Linked DNA regions of Saccharomyces cerevisiae S288C. The protein of the gene in region 1 interacts with the protein of each later gene in a pairwise test. Each region holds a gene or a part of one and is shown in the gene's direction. Other genes may lie near its edges.

Region 1 (3,329 bases):
CTCAGGGTCTATTGATAAAAATGAATTTATGAGCATTCCTGGCGTTTCGTCAAACCCTCTTGCTGGACGTATAATGGAGGTTTTCGATGCTGATAATAGTGGGGACGTGGATTTTCAAGAGTTCATCACAGGATTATCCATTTTCAGTGGGCGTGGGTCCAAGGACGAAAAGTTAAGATTCGCCTTCAAAATCTACGACATTGACAAGGACGGTTTCATATCCAATGGTGAGTTGTTCATCGTGTTGAAGATTATGGTAGGTTCTAATCTGGACGATGAACAGCTGCAACAGATAGTAGATAGGACGATAGTGGAAAACGATAGCGACGGCGACGGACGTTTAAGTTTCGAGGAGTTTAAGAATGCTATCGAAACCACAGAAGTGGCCAAGAGTCTGACATTGCAATACGATGTGTAAGACTAGGGGACACTTCATTCATTTATGGTATGCCAATATTTTTAAGAAAAGAAGAATAATACGCGATATTGTTTTTTAAGGAAGGAACGCACACTCGCCCAGTTAGAGTGCTGATGATATATACATATATATATGTATATGTAACAAACAATAAGAAAGCAATGATACAACATAGAGATGAGAGAGAGCATATATGTCAGCGACGAGATATACCAAGATGGAAGCTGATCTCATGTAATAACTGCGGGGTGTACTTTGATAATTTTTGGGATTCCATTGTTATTAATAGCTTTGATATCAGACATACAGAATACCAGAGATTTTCCTCAAAAATATGGCAATGCACAAAGGGGGATCAATAGTTATATAAATTAAGATTATTACTTCTTCTTTGTTTTATGTGTTGTTATTCACTATCCCACTGCATTATCAATCCTTACATATCAGCTTCCGTTAAACCCGATGACTATCTCTCAATCATCATACTATCTTCTTACACCGTATATGATAATTACCAGCAATACTAATGCTAGGAGACAGACCATCTTTGATTCCTATTCCAATAAAGTTAAACTGTGATATTGGTTTATTGGATAAGTTCATATCCTAAAACGTGTTGACAACACTTCGGGAGTTTCCAGTAAGTAAAATTTGTATGGAGGGTTGGCCGAGTGGTCTAAGGCGGCAGACTTAAGATCTGTTGGACGGTTGTCCGCGCGAGTTCGAACCTCGCATCCTTCAGTAATTTTTTTTTTTAATTTATTTTTGTGTTGCAAGCGTTGATCCTTTCCATTATGCAGCCATAAGAGGAGGCTGGATATGAATTATTTATTACCAATATAAGGAGCATGTACCGTTGATTTTGAAGAGCCAATTGCTCCAAATTTTGGATTTTGTGTTCGAAAAAGGGAAGATTGCTCCAAACGCAAATAAGGAGGAAACCCGCTGATTGCACTCTTGGAAAAATAAAAATAAAAAGTGGTCTCAGAATTGTTTCAAAAGTGGCACTGACACAATATTTACAGGCGTTGATAGCTTCTTGTTTTAACAATACGATTTAATCTCGGAGTAGTTAAGCCAAAGAATACGTGTTATCCGTAAGAGGCTTATTGCACGTAATCCCCAGTATAAATTATCCGCAAATCGAAGACAAATGTTTAAGAAATACAAAAATCAAGACTTGGACATGGCATTTTGGTGGAAGAAAAACCCCAAGACCCCTTCCGATTATGCCAGGTTGATCATCGAACAACTAAATAAATTCAGCTCACCCTCGCTGACTCAGGATAACAAACGAAAGGTACAAGAAGAGTGCACAAAATATCTAATTGGCACTAAACATTTTATTGTCGGTGATACGGATCCTCACCCAACTCCGGAAGCCATTGACGAGCTTTATACTGCCATGCATCGTGCCGACGTGTTCTATGAACTGCTACTTCATTTTGTGGATTTGGAATTCGAAGCAAGGAGAGAATGCATGCTTATATTCTCTATATGCCTTGGATACTCTAAGGATAATAAATTCGTCACAGTAGATTATTTAGTCTCGCAACCAAAGACCATATCTTTAATGTTGAGGACTGCGGAAGTTGCTCTACAACAAAAGGGTTGCCAAGATATCTTTTTAACGGTAGGGAATATGATTATTGAATGTATCAAATACGAACAACTTTGTAGGATTATATTAAAGGACCCTCAACTATGGAAATTCTTTGAGTTTGCGAAACTGGGTAATTTCGAAATCAGTACGGAATCTTTACAAATATTAAGTGCCGCATTTACTGCACATCCTAAATTAGTGTCTAAGGAATTCTTCAGTAATGAGATTAATATCATAAGATTCATTAAATGTATTAACAAGTTAATGGCTCATGGAAGCTACGTAACGAAAAGGCAGAGCACTAAACTGTTGGCCTCATTAATTGTGATAAGATCTAACAACGCGTTGATGAATATATATATCAACTCCCCAGAAAACTTAAAGCTCATAATGACTTTAATGACTGACAAATCTAAAAACTTACAACTTGAAGCTTTCAACGTATTCAAGGTGATGGTAGCAAACCCAAGGAAGTCAAAACCTGTTTTTGACATTCTTGTTAAAAACAGAGATAAACTATTGACGTATTTTAAAACTTTCGGTTTAGATTCTCAGGATTCTACTTTTCTTGATGAAAGAGAATTCATCGTTCAAGAAATTGATTCCTTGCCGCGTATAATTTCGTCCACAACAGAAGTTTCTAATAATAATGCATCCTCAAGTAACGTCGCCAGTATAACTTCTCCATCATCAGTAATGAACAATCAATCATCCATCTTAACACATTCAACTTCACCTGATTCAAGATAACTATAAAACTTGGTTCACTTTATAAAAAATGGAAAGTTCTCAGGCAGTGGGTCGTGACATGAATATTCAAAAGTAAAATTATATATAGGAAAGTGTTTATTTGCATAAAAAGGGAAAAATAGTTCAGACTTTTGTATTTTTACGTATTTATACAAAAAAAGGTTGGTACCGGAGGCTGAGGAAGCCAGTACAGTTGGATCCGGTACATGGAATTGAGCAATCAACCGTAAATATGAGCGCTTTCTCAAGATATTAAATTATTATAAAACAATTTATTTATCCAATTTATACATGATTTGGATCCTCCTTTGGCTATGTATGTTACCTCTCCTTTCCTTCTTCCTTTTTTGTTTTAACTTTTTTGTTCAAGCTTTTATTGTTTCTTAGTAAATTTGATGATGCTGAACTAGATGGTTGGGAAAATAGTGGTAATCTCTTACTAGTCTCCTGCCCTGTAGGTGATGTGATTCGCTGCCCTTTATTTGCATTAAACAATGCATTAGATTTGGACGTTTTTGGATCTTCGATCTTTTCAAAAAGATTCAGGTTAGTTTCTGA
Region 2 (5,474 bases), on another chromosome or scaffold:
ATACTTGCTGGGATGGCTTTTTCTGGATCTCTTGCACTTTTTTGAGCAGTTGTGGTGACGTCTGTTTCACGTTGTCCTTTTTATTAGTAATCTTCTCATCTACAATAGTTTTTTTTGTGAAAAAAAACTGAATAAGAATATACCCAACCAAAATTGTGAAAATCAGCTGTAATAAACCTCTGTTATTCTCAATTAATTGTGAATCAAATATTGAGACATACTCCGAAGGTGGCTCTGAAAATCGTGGAGTATAGTCATTAAACGACAGACGAGGCACATCCAAAACTCTATTATTTTGTTCCACTTCACCCACTCTGGATTTTATGTCAAAGATATCTGGAAATATTTGGATAGGGATGATCGACTCGTGAGCCAGCGTAGTTCCTGGGTTTAACGAGGTGTAAATGACATTTTGTTCTGGCGACGGAATCTGCGCCAGTATAGTCCTCAAATACTTGTCATAATGGCGGAATGCTTCTTTACGTTCATTAGTGTCCTCTGGTAACTTAGGGTACTCTATTATAATCACTCTTTTTTCGCTATCAATAAAGGGCTGGAAATCTTCTGTATTATTACCTCGTAAGTTCAACACCTGGTCTACGTTACAATACTCCTTTACAAACTCTGCAAGATCATAGTATAAATCTTGAGGCAATAGGTCTACCTTTTCGAACTTAATCGCGGTTGAACTCCGTCTTATATATCTCTGTAACGAAACAAACTCTGTTTCAAATTCCAAGAAGTCCAATTTCCTCAGGCCTGGTTGATTAATAAACACATAAGTGTCAGCATTACATACACCTAAGAATTTCTCAGCCGCTTCAATAAAGGTGTCTCTTGGTAAAGTCACAGCCCTATCATAATCCTCTTGATACTTTAAAATACCGGGAGTTCTATCCAAAAGTACAAATATGTGTATAACATCTAGTTAGTAAGAAAAATGAAAGTTACTAAAGATTAATGTTTCTTGTTCTACATACAGTTTGTAAGAGAAGAATATTGCAGGAACATTGGTCTGGTTTTGCAATTCCTCCGAAGCACAAAAGCTTCCACACATAATAAGCAACAAATATTTCAACACAGTTTGCATCTTGCCTTGCTACTCCTAATTAGTATGCGCCTACGTTTCCTAACTACAAAACAGATAGGTATAACCTGCAACTTAACCTCCGCTGCTGATATTCTTGGCCGTAGTTAAGAGAGGTTTACATTACTACAGAGCTAACCCGTGTTGCATGATATCATCGATATAATTAAAGAATGCACATATGTCAGCGGTACTATCGCATACAATGCTCTATCAGAACTCTAGATAACGTTAGAACATATCCTCCCAGGTTTCGCCACATCTGTGGCCTCGTTACTCTATTCGTTTCACTCTTTCTTATCTATTTACAGCCCATCGAGCAACATTATCATGCCACACGTCGATCTCAGGCCGATCTGACAATCTTTAAAGGCATCAACAAGAGCAGCAGCTTGCCGACGTGGCAAAAGTCAAAGAAGAACAGAGGCAACTCGTCCTACGTGAAGCCACATACAACAAGTTAGGAACTATTAGGCGGAACCGCTTTCTAAGGAGCTTACTACTTTTAACAGTACTACTTTTAACAGTACACAGATAAAGAAACAAAAAGTATAAATTTGGGCGCCATCGACTGGCAAGCAAAACACGTATAGAGAACAGGCAGTAATGACGACGAAGCCACAAAATAGTAAGCAGGGTTTAGCCGAAGGAGAGATGGATGTGAGTTCACTTTTCAAGAGAACGGAAGTTATTGGGCGAGGGAAATTTGGTGTGGTTTATAAGGGCTATAACGTGAAGACTGGACGAGTGTATGCTATCAAAGTCTTAAATTTAGATTCTGATTCTGACGAGGTGGAGGATGTGCAGCGAGAAATTCAGTTTTTGGCCTCCTTGAAACAGATTTCCAATATCACGCGGTATTATGGGTCGTATTTGAAAGACACAAGCCTTTGGATCATAATGGAACACTGCGCTGGTGGTTCACTGCGTTCGTTGTTAAGGCCAGGCAAAATCGATGAAAAGTACATTGGGGTTATTATGAGAGAACTGCTTGTAGCATTAAAATGCATTCATAAAGATAACGTCATTCATCGAGATATCAAAGCAGCAAACGTTCTGATCACTAACGAAGGTAATGTTAAACTATGCGATTTTGGTGTCGCTGCACAAGTAAACCAAACTTCTTTACGACGTCAAACTATGGCTGGGACCCCCTACTGGATGGCTCCAGAAGTGATCATGGAAGGCGTTTATTACGACACTAAAGTAGATATATGGTCTTTAGGTATTACAACGTACGAGATTGCCACCGGAAATCCGCCATACTGCGATGTGGAGGCCCTAAGGGCAATGCAACTAATCATCAAATCGAAACCACCGAGGCTTGAGGACAGATCATACAGTACATCTTTGAAAGAATTTATTGCGCTTTGTCTTGATGAGGATCCAAAGGAGAGATTGTCAGCAGACGATCTTTTAAAATCAAAATTTATCAGGGCCCACAAGGCGACGCCAACGTCCATTTTGAAAGAACTAATATCACGATATCTACTATTTAGGGACAAGAATAAAAACAAATATAAAATAGAGGGCAGTATACCGGAAAATGAGCCATCAAAACCCAGTGAAGCTCCAAAACCATCACAAAATGGCGGGGGTGATGAAGCACAAAAGTCAATAGCATCAAATGATAATGAAATTAAGAGAGTGAACGAAGGCGATGTGGAAATGAAATGGGATTTTGATTCATTGAGTTCGTCGGATTATATTATTGAAAATAATATCAACCTCGATGCTTTGGCTGAGGACAACAACGAGTGGGCTACTGCCCAACATGACCTGTTCAACTATGCATACCCTGACGAAGATTCTTATTACTTTGACCCTACAAGTCATAATACTAGACCCTTTGTTTATCAAGGGACAACGATAGGAAAGGGCTATCCTGGTACAATAGCTCAAAATTCTACTTTGAATGCACCAGTAACAAATAACTATACGAACTCAAAATACCCTTCCAAAATGGTAGCTGGAACTACAAACACCTCTGGAACACATACGGCCGGTCCAATGACATCATCTAAGAGGCTGGAAAGTAAGGCTCCAAAACAATTACTTGAACTTTTTGAAGACAATGAAATTATTACTGCTGAAAATGATGTCAATACAGAAGCTCCTAAAATAAGCAAATCCATTTCATCTCTAAATGCTGGTAATAGTTCACGAGATGATTTCATTCCCTCAATATCCAACGAGGTCAACGGAAATATCAATAATAATAAAATGCGACCACACCTTCCACCTTTATCCAGTGGGAACAATTATTATAGCCAGAGTACACCTGCTTTGCCGCTACTCCAAACAAAATTTAACAAGACGTCAAAGGGCCCTCCAACAAGTGGATTAACTACTGCTCCAACGTCTATTGAAATAGAAATTCCTGAAGAACTACCGAATAGTGCTCTACCAACGCCTGCGAGCGCAGATCCGGTTTTAATACCAAGCACAAAGGCCAGGTCATCTACAGTGACGGCTGGCACTCCTTCGTCATCTAGCTCAATACAATATAAATCACCTTCAAACGTGCCCAGGCGGTTGACAGTCAGTAACAATAGGCCAGAACATTGCCCAAGCACCATAACAAATCAAAAATTGGGGTCCGCAGTTGCTTCTAATTCCGGAATCAGCTCCACTCCGAACAACAGTAATAACTATAACAACAACACTGATAGTGAGAACTCAAGAGGAAGCAGCGGTAGTAACACTGCAAATAGCACACAAATGGGCATAACCAATCCAGGTAATGTAACAAAGTTATCTACTCATAAGGCTTCTTCACCCTCAAGGCCACTATTTGGAGTTGGAACTTCTCCCAATAGAAAGCCTGCCGGTTCCCCAACCCAAAACATTGGTCATAATTCTACTCACACGAACCTCGCGCCTCCTCCTACGATGAAACCAATGGCCAATAGCAAAGATAACAAGGACATTCTCTTGCAACCTCTGAACAGCATACCTAGTTCTTCTACACTTAACACTATTAGTGGTAATAGCAGCAATAATTTAACCTCATCAAACTACTTTTCCAACGAAAAGGAAGGCTCAAGGGTCAATGGTGACTTTAAACGCAACAACCCAAACTTAAAACTACAAATGCCACTACCTACACCTGTTGTGAGAAATAAACTTCTTGATCCAAATACAGCAACCTCACAGAATAACAATGGCATGCCGGGGAGCGCTGGCATATCCACGAACGAAAATATTAATCAATTTGGATTTAACACAAGCAGTGCGTCCAACATCCCTGTCTCAATGACTCCAATTAGTGAGAAACACATTGATTTTGGGGGCAAGATCAAGAGAAGTCAAAGCATTTCTAACAGGAAGAACTCTTCTGCCTCGGAACACCCATTGAATATTCTTGGCTCATCTGTTTCCGGCAATGTTTCCGGTATCGGTAACAACAATGTTGGCTCTAACAACAACAGCGGCCCTAATAACAGTGTTCCTCTTTCTGCTAATACAGGAAACACTACTATCAAAGCCAATTCTACGACTATCGCAACTTCAAGTTCTGCCGCGGCATCAACGACTGCACCAATTTCACAACAGACTATTCCATCCGGAACACAATTCAATCATATTCTGAGTTCCGCCGCAACAGCTGCAAACTCGGTTAATTCTTTAGGCTTTGGCATGTGTCCTCCTCCACAGAGTTTACAAATGGAAATGTTCTTGGACTTAGAATCGTTTCTGCCAGGAAAACAGAGGCGGGTAGACAGGAAACCCCAGGTTCTGAAAGAACTGGAAAATCTTTTACAAATGTTCGAAGAAGGTTTGCCCTGCATTGAACACGCTTTAAAGGAACAACTTATTTCAACGCCTATCAAGGATAATGAGCATTAAAAGCATCGTCTAGTTTATTCTTTTGTTTATGTACATATTCAAGAAAAATAAGCAAGATGTAAGAAAAGTGAAAGTATATATTTTCTACAGAACTTAACAAGTCCCTTTAAGCACCACATGGAACTCGACTGCGCAAGGTTAGCGCTTTACGGACTTTATTGCTATTCTAGTTCAAAGAAAGCAAATGGCGCAGTTACCAAACCTCGCCATTTGTTTTTTCCGTTATTTTTTCTTCTTATAAACGCGCCTAGAAGAAAAAACCGTGCGAAGCGCAAATCCTGAGAAAGCGCTAAGGAGGTTTCAACCAATGTTTACCACTTGAAATTTTAGCATTCTCATCACTGTAAGAGAGATAATTATCCTGTAAACATTCCAAAATACCTTTTGTAACGCTGATTGTTGTATTTGTTACCCCAGAATTGCCATATATAGTGGAGAAGAAATCGAAAAGGTCATATACAGCAGAACCAAAAAAAATAATACATTCGTTGATCCTTTACCGTTTTCAAGAGTGAAACGTGATCGTGTTTATACTTTT
Region 3 (4,706 bases), on another chromosome or scaffold:
ACCAGAGAATACTGTGGATATCAATATTCTGTATAAGATTTTACAGATCGATCGTAAAATGGGCCAGGTTTTACCTTTTAACATGATTAGAAGAATGTTAAGTACAGAATTTAGCTCTCTTGAAAGAAGAGACGTGATTATCAAAAATCTAAACACTTTGTACTATCAATACACAGTACAGGATAGTGATCATTTCTTAAGTCAAATTGAAAATGCTCCTAGATGGATAGATTTAAGGGATCTTTATGGCCAATACAATAAACTTGAAGGTGAGAAAAATGTAGAGATCATAAGCAAGTTCATGGACAAGTTTATTGATTTGGATAAACCCGACCAAGTTGTTACTATTTATAACCAGTATAGCAAGGTTTTCCCAAATAGTACGTCGCTGAAAGATTGTCTTTTAAGAGCTGTGTCGCACTTACGAGCTAAATCGAGTAAAGAGAAGTTGGACAGAATTCTAGCAGTCTGGAACAGTGTTATCAAACCAGGAGATAATATTAAAAACACATCTTATGCGACGCTAGTTAACGCACTAACTGATTCTGGAAATTTCAACCATTTAAAGGAATTTTGGGAAGAAGAACTTCCTAAAAAGTTCAAGAAAGATCCCATCGTGAAGGAAGCATTTCTCCTGGCCTTATGTCAAACTTCGCCTCTAAAGTATGACCAAGTCAAAGGGGAGTTAGCAGAGACTGTTAAAACCAAGAAGTTGTTCAATAAAGTTTTATTGCTAATGTTAGATGATGAAAAAGTGAGCGAAGAACAATTCAACACATTTTACTATAACCATTATCCATCAGATGGTGTGTTACCCCCTACTTTGGATACTCTAAGCATTAAAATGTACGCTAATTATAAATTTCAGGCAGAAGATACACGCCCACAATTCGATCTATTGCAAAGTGTTTCCATTAATCCCACCGATTATGAAAAGGTTGAAAAGATTACGAAAGCCTTTATTTCAGTGTGCCCCACTGTCGAGCCGATTCGTCAACTTTACAAACAATTGGGAACTCACTTAAATGCTAGGAATTATGCAGACTTTATTTCCGCAGAGTTTAATAAGCCTGACGGCACAGTGGCCGAGGCAAAGAATTTGTTTTCTGATTTTCTCTCATATCAAAAGACTAGAAAGAGAAACGTGGATAATACGCCTCTAAATGCTTTATTATTGGGGTTCTGTGATAAACTTTACAAGAGTAAACATAGCGAGTACGTTCCCTACATCGAAAAGTACTACAATCTAGCTAAGGATTCAAGTATCAGGGTGTCGAACTTGGCCGTTTCGAAAATTCTATTCAACTTGGCCACATTTGCACGCAATACTCAGCAGTTATCTGACAAAGAGGTTGCTTTTATTAACCAGTTTATGCGAGATTTAGGCACTAATGAGGGTTTTCGTCCCAACCCTAAGGATATTCAAATTTTAAAAGAATGTGATGGAATTACTGTTCCAGAAAAGTTGACTTAATACACTTGTCATAAGAAGACAATAAGAAAAGCTCAGAACCAATTTTCTGCACATATGATGCTGTAACTATATAATGATTTCTTGTATATAACTTCCGTATAATAGTTATTGCTTCCATGCATGATTCTTTCAAAGAACAATACAAAATAAAAATAAAAAAAAAAAAAAAAAATGAAAAAATGAAGCTACAAGTCGGGTAACAAAAAGTATTTCAAGATCTCTAAATATAAGTGGGCAAATAAAGTTAATGCCAAAACTCCATGCTACTTTTCACCTGAACTTATTGGGGGGAGTTAAGTCTATAAGTATCCGTAACGTATGGTAGCGACATCTTCAAAGAGGACGTTGGATCCGAAGGAGGAACATTTGCCTGCTGACAAAACATCCACTAATTCAAGCAACACTATAATATCTGAGTTGGCAACACAAGAGAAATCCAGCTCTAGTGGTACTACACTAAAATTAATAGCTCTTAATATCAAGTCCATATCAGATGAAGATGTGGGATATATCCAAAATGTTGAAAGACTGTCTTTAAGGAAAAATCACTTAACATCCTTACCAGCGAGTTTCAAGAGGTTATCAAGGCTGCAATATCTGGATTTGCATAATAACAATTTTAAAGAAATCCCATATATTTTGACACAATGCCCTCAATTAGAGATCTTGGATCTGTCCTCCAATGAGATTGAAGCATTGCCAGATGAAATATCATCGTTTTGGCAAGATAATATTCGTGTATTATCATTGAAAGACAACAACGTTACTAGCATACGTAATTTGAAATCGATCACAAAATTAAACAAGCTGAGCATCTTGGATTTAGAGGATAATAAAATACCCAAAGAAGAGCTTGACCAAGTACAGAGTTATACTCCATTTCATACGGGCATCCCCAAAGAAGAATATTGGGCAATTGCGATATCACGATATCTAAAAGATCATCCTAACCTACCTACTCCAGAACCTAAAATATCTAGAGCAGCGAAAAGAATGGGATTCATAAATACGAACTTGTCTAATGGAGCAATGAATGAAAACAATATAATTTCACTTGCCCCAAGTGCAAATACAACTATAAGTGCATCTACTGCAATGGTCTCATCTAATCAAACCTCTGCAACATCTTTCAGTGGTACAGTCAATGCAGAATCAGAACAAAGTGGGGCAGTGAATGGTACGGAACTATACAATCACACCAAATATAATGACTACTTCAAGAGGTTGTCGATTTTACCAGAAGAGTCAATGAGTAACGGGCATCAAAAAATATCGCATGCAGAGTTGGTTGTTTCCTGTCGGAAGCTCCTATTTAGTTTTACAGAATGCCAACAAGCTATCAGAAAAATCGCCTCTTTCTGTAAAGAGAAGGCCGTAGCGGTTAATGTAGTATCATTATTATACTCTGTCAGATCACATACTGATAATCTGGTGGAGGTCTTGCAGCAAACAGAGAACGAAGACGAATCGCATGATCAGGCGTTAATCAAGCTGTGCCTCACTATCATCACAAATTTTAAACAAATTATAACATTGTTGAGAAAAAATTTTGAGATTTTTTTCAAAGAAGACGATCTATGCTTCATAAGGATGTTTTATATGACATTAATGTGTGCTTATATGGAAATGTATAATGCATGGTCTTTTATCAAAGAAGATGATCAAGTGTCCGGTTCTGCAAGTAAGGCACCCAAGAAACATTCTTTTTCGAGGCACGAGACATCGTCCAGTAGTATCACAAGCGGTGGAGGACCCGCAGCAAGTACGACCAGTACACATTGTAGCGGAAACATAAAATTACTGCCGAAAACAAGGAGCACAAGAACACCATCTGCATCTGCATTGCTTTCAAATAGTAATATTCTGACGGGTGATACCACTGCTGTTCCTCTTTTATCACCAAATCTAAATGGTGCACACACCCATGGTCCAATTTTGGGACACCAAAATGCAATAAGCAATGGAAGTTCTCAAACGAACATGAATGAAGTAAAAACTACTAGCGATACTATTCCAAGGCAACAGCTGCTTCAGCACAATAAATCCATCAGCGATTCGAAAAAAGAGTCACAGGCGCATGAACCTAAACAGCATCCGGTTATGACTTCTTCAATAATTAACGCATCAAATAGTAATAACGTCTCGAATGTTAATATAACCCCACCACCGATGAATGGTGGTGGTGCCGCGAACAGTAGTGCTAATGTAGTGGAGACAAATATTGACATTCAACTGTATCAAACGTTGTCCACAGTAGTTAAAATGGTGAGCGTTGTATATAACCAGTTAACTTCAGAGATATCCAAGATAGCCATTGCTAGCACCATGGGAAAGCAAATTTTGACGGACTCGCTAGCACCTAAAATTCGTGATTTGACGGAAACATGTCGTCAAGCGATGGATTTATCCAAACAATTGAATGAAAGGTTAAATGTATTAATACCGAACGATTCAAATTCAGAGAAGTATCTGACATCTTTGGAGAAGCTGAAAACGTGGGAGATAATGAATTCGTTCTTAAAAGTAATAATATCAATTCTGGCTAATACTAAAATCGTAATGAGCGACGTGCCTAATTTGAATGAGCTGAGACCTAACCTAGCCAACTTGGCGAAGATTACCAAGGATGTCACTGTGATATTGGACTTGAGTTCATACAAGGCTGTATCAGTAAGCGCCAACTCTCCGGAGTAATATAAAAACTTGCATTGTGAGAAAACGCGAACTTTAGAATACGTAATGGGAGGATCATATACCCCATGGTACTGAAATGTATGCTTTATATATATATATATATATATTTATATATTTATGCATGAAAAATGAGGAGTTCGGAAACAGAAGTTTTAAAAGTTACAGATTTATTGTATAAAAGATACACGCCACTGGTTGAATGTAAATGTTAAAATGAATTGGCATGGTCTAAAAATCCCTCGTAAATCTTGCTTAATTCATAATGGTAACCATGGATACCCTGGGATTCCAAAAATATGGGTAGGCGAACTCTTGTTCGTTCCGCGATACCTTTTAACCTCACAATATCAGTCCCATTCAATCCTGCTATGTTCTTGCTGGCTGAAGACGTTTTAGGGACTTCTTTGCAATTATCATTATCATCAGTTAGAATTACAAATATCCTGTCAAGGATGAAGAAGAGTTTGAATAATTTGGATAAAGTGTCATTAATCTCTGAGTCTTCCATATTTTTGAATGTAAATTTTTCAACGTAATC

What was found. The genes of interacting proteins can lie anywhere in the genome.
Region 2: the proteins of HYM1 (region 1) and KIC1 interact in binary tests that used the Saccharomyces cerevisiae proteins (3 or more experiments, as listed by UniProt).
Region 3: the proteins of HYM1 (region 1) and SOG2 interact in binary tests that used the Saccharomyces cerevisiae proteins (3 or more experiments, as listed by UniProt).

What each region holds. Positions count from the first base shown.
Region 1 is NC_001143.9:83,133-86,461, forward strand, and holds HYM1 (Hym1p), read left to right. Parts: upstream 1-1,571; coding exon 1,572-2,771; downstream 2,772-3,329. Other genes in the region: CNB1 (calcineurin regulatory subunit B), read left to right, coding at 1-418; ATP-binding cassette long-chain fatty acid transporter PXA2, read right to left, coding at 3,093-3,329.
Region 2 is NC_001140.6:314,879-320,352, forward strand, and holds KIC1 (putative serine/threonine protein kinase KIC1), read left to right. Parts: upstream 1-1,693; coding exon 1,694-4,936; downstream 4,937-5,474. Other genes in the region: BIG1 (Big1p), read right to left, coding at 1-893, 981-1,090. UniProt on the Saccharomyces cerevisiae protein: Protein kinase involved in morphogenesis and cell integrity.
Region 3 is NC_001147.6:997,915-1,002,620, reverse strand, and holds SOG2 (Sog2p), read left to right. Parts: upstream 1-1,792; coding exon 1,793-4,168; downstream 4,169-4,706. Other genes in the region: MSC6 (Msc6p), read left to right, coding at 1-1,474; TFIIH complex subunit TFB6, read right to left, coding at 4,377-4,706. UniProt on the Saccharomyces cerevisiae protein: Required for proper cell morphogenesis and cell separation after mitosis. Functions in the RAM (regulation of ACE2 activity and cellular morphogenesis) signaling network and is required for proper ACE2 localization and CBK1 kinase activity.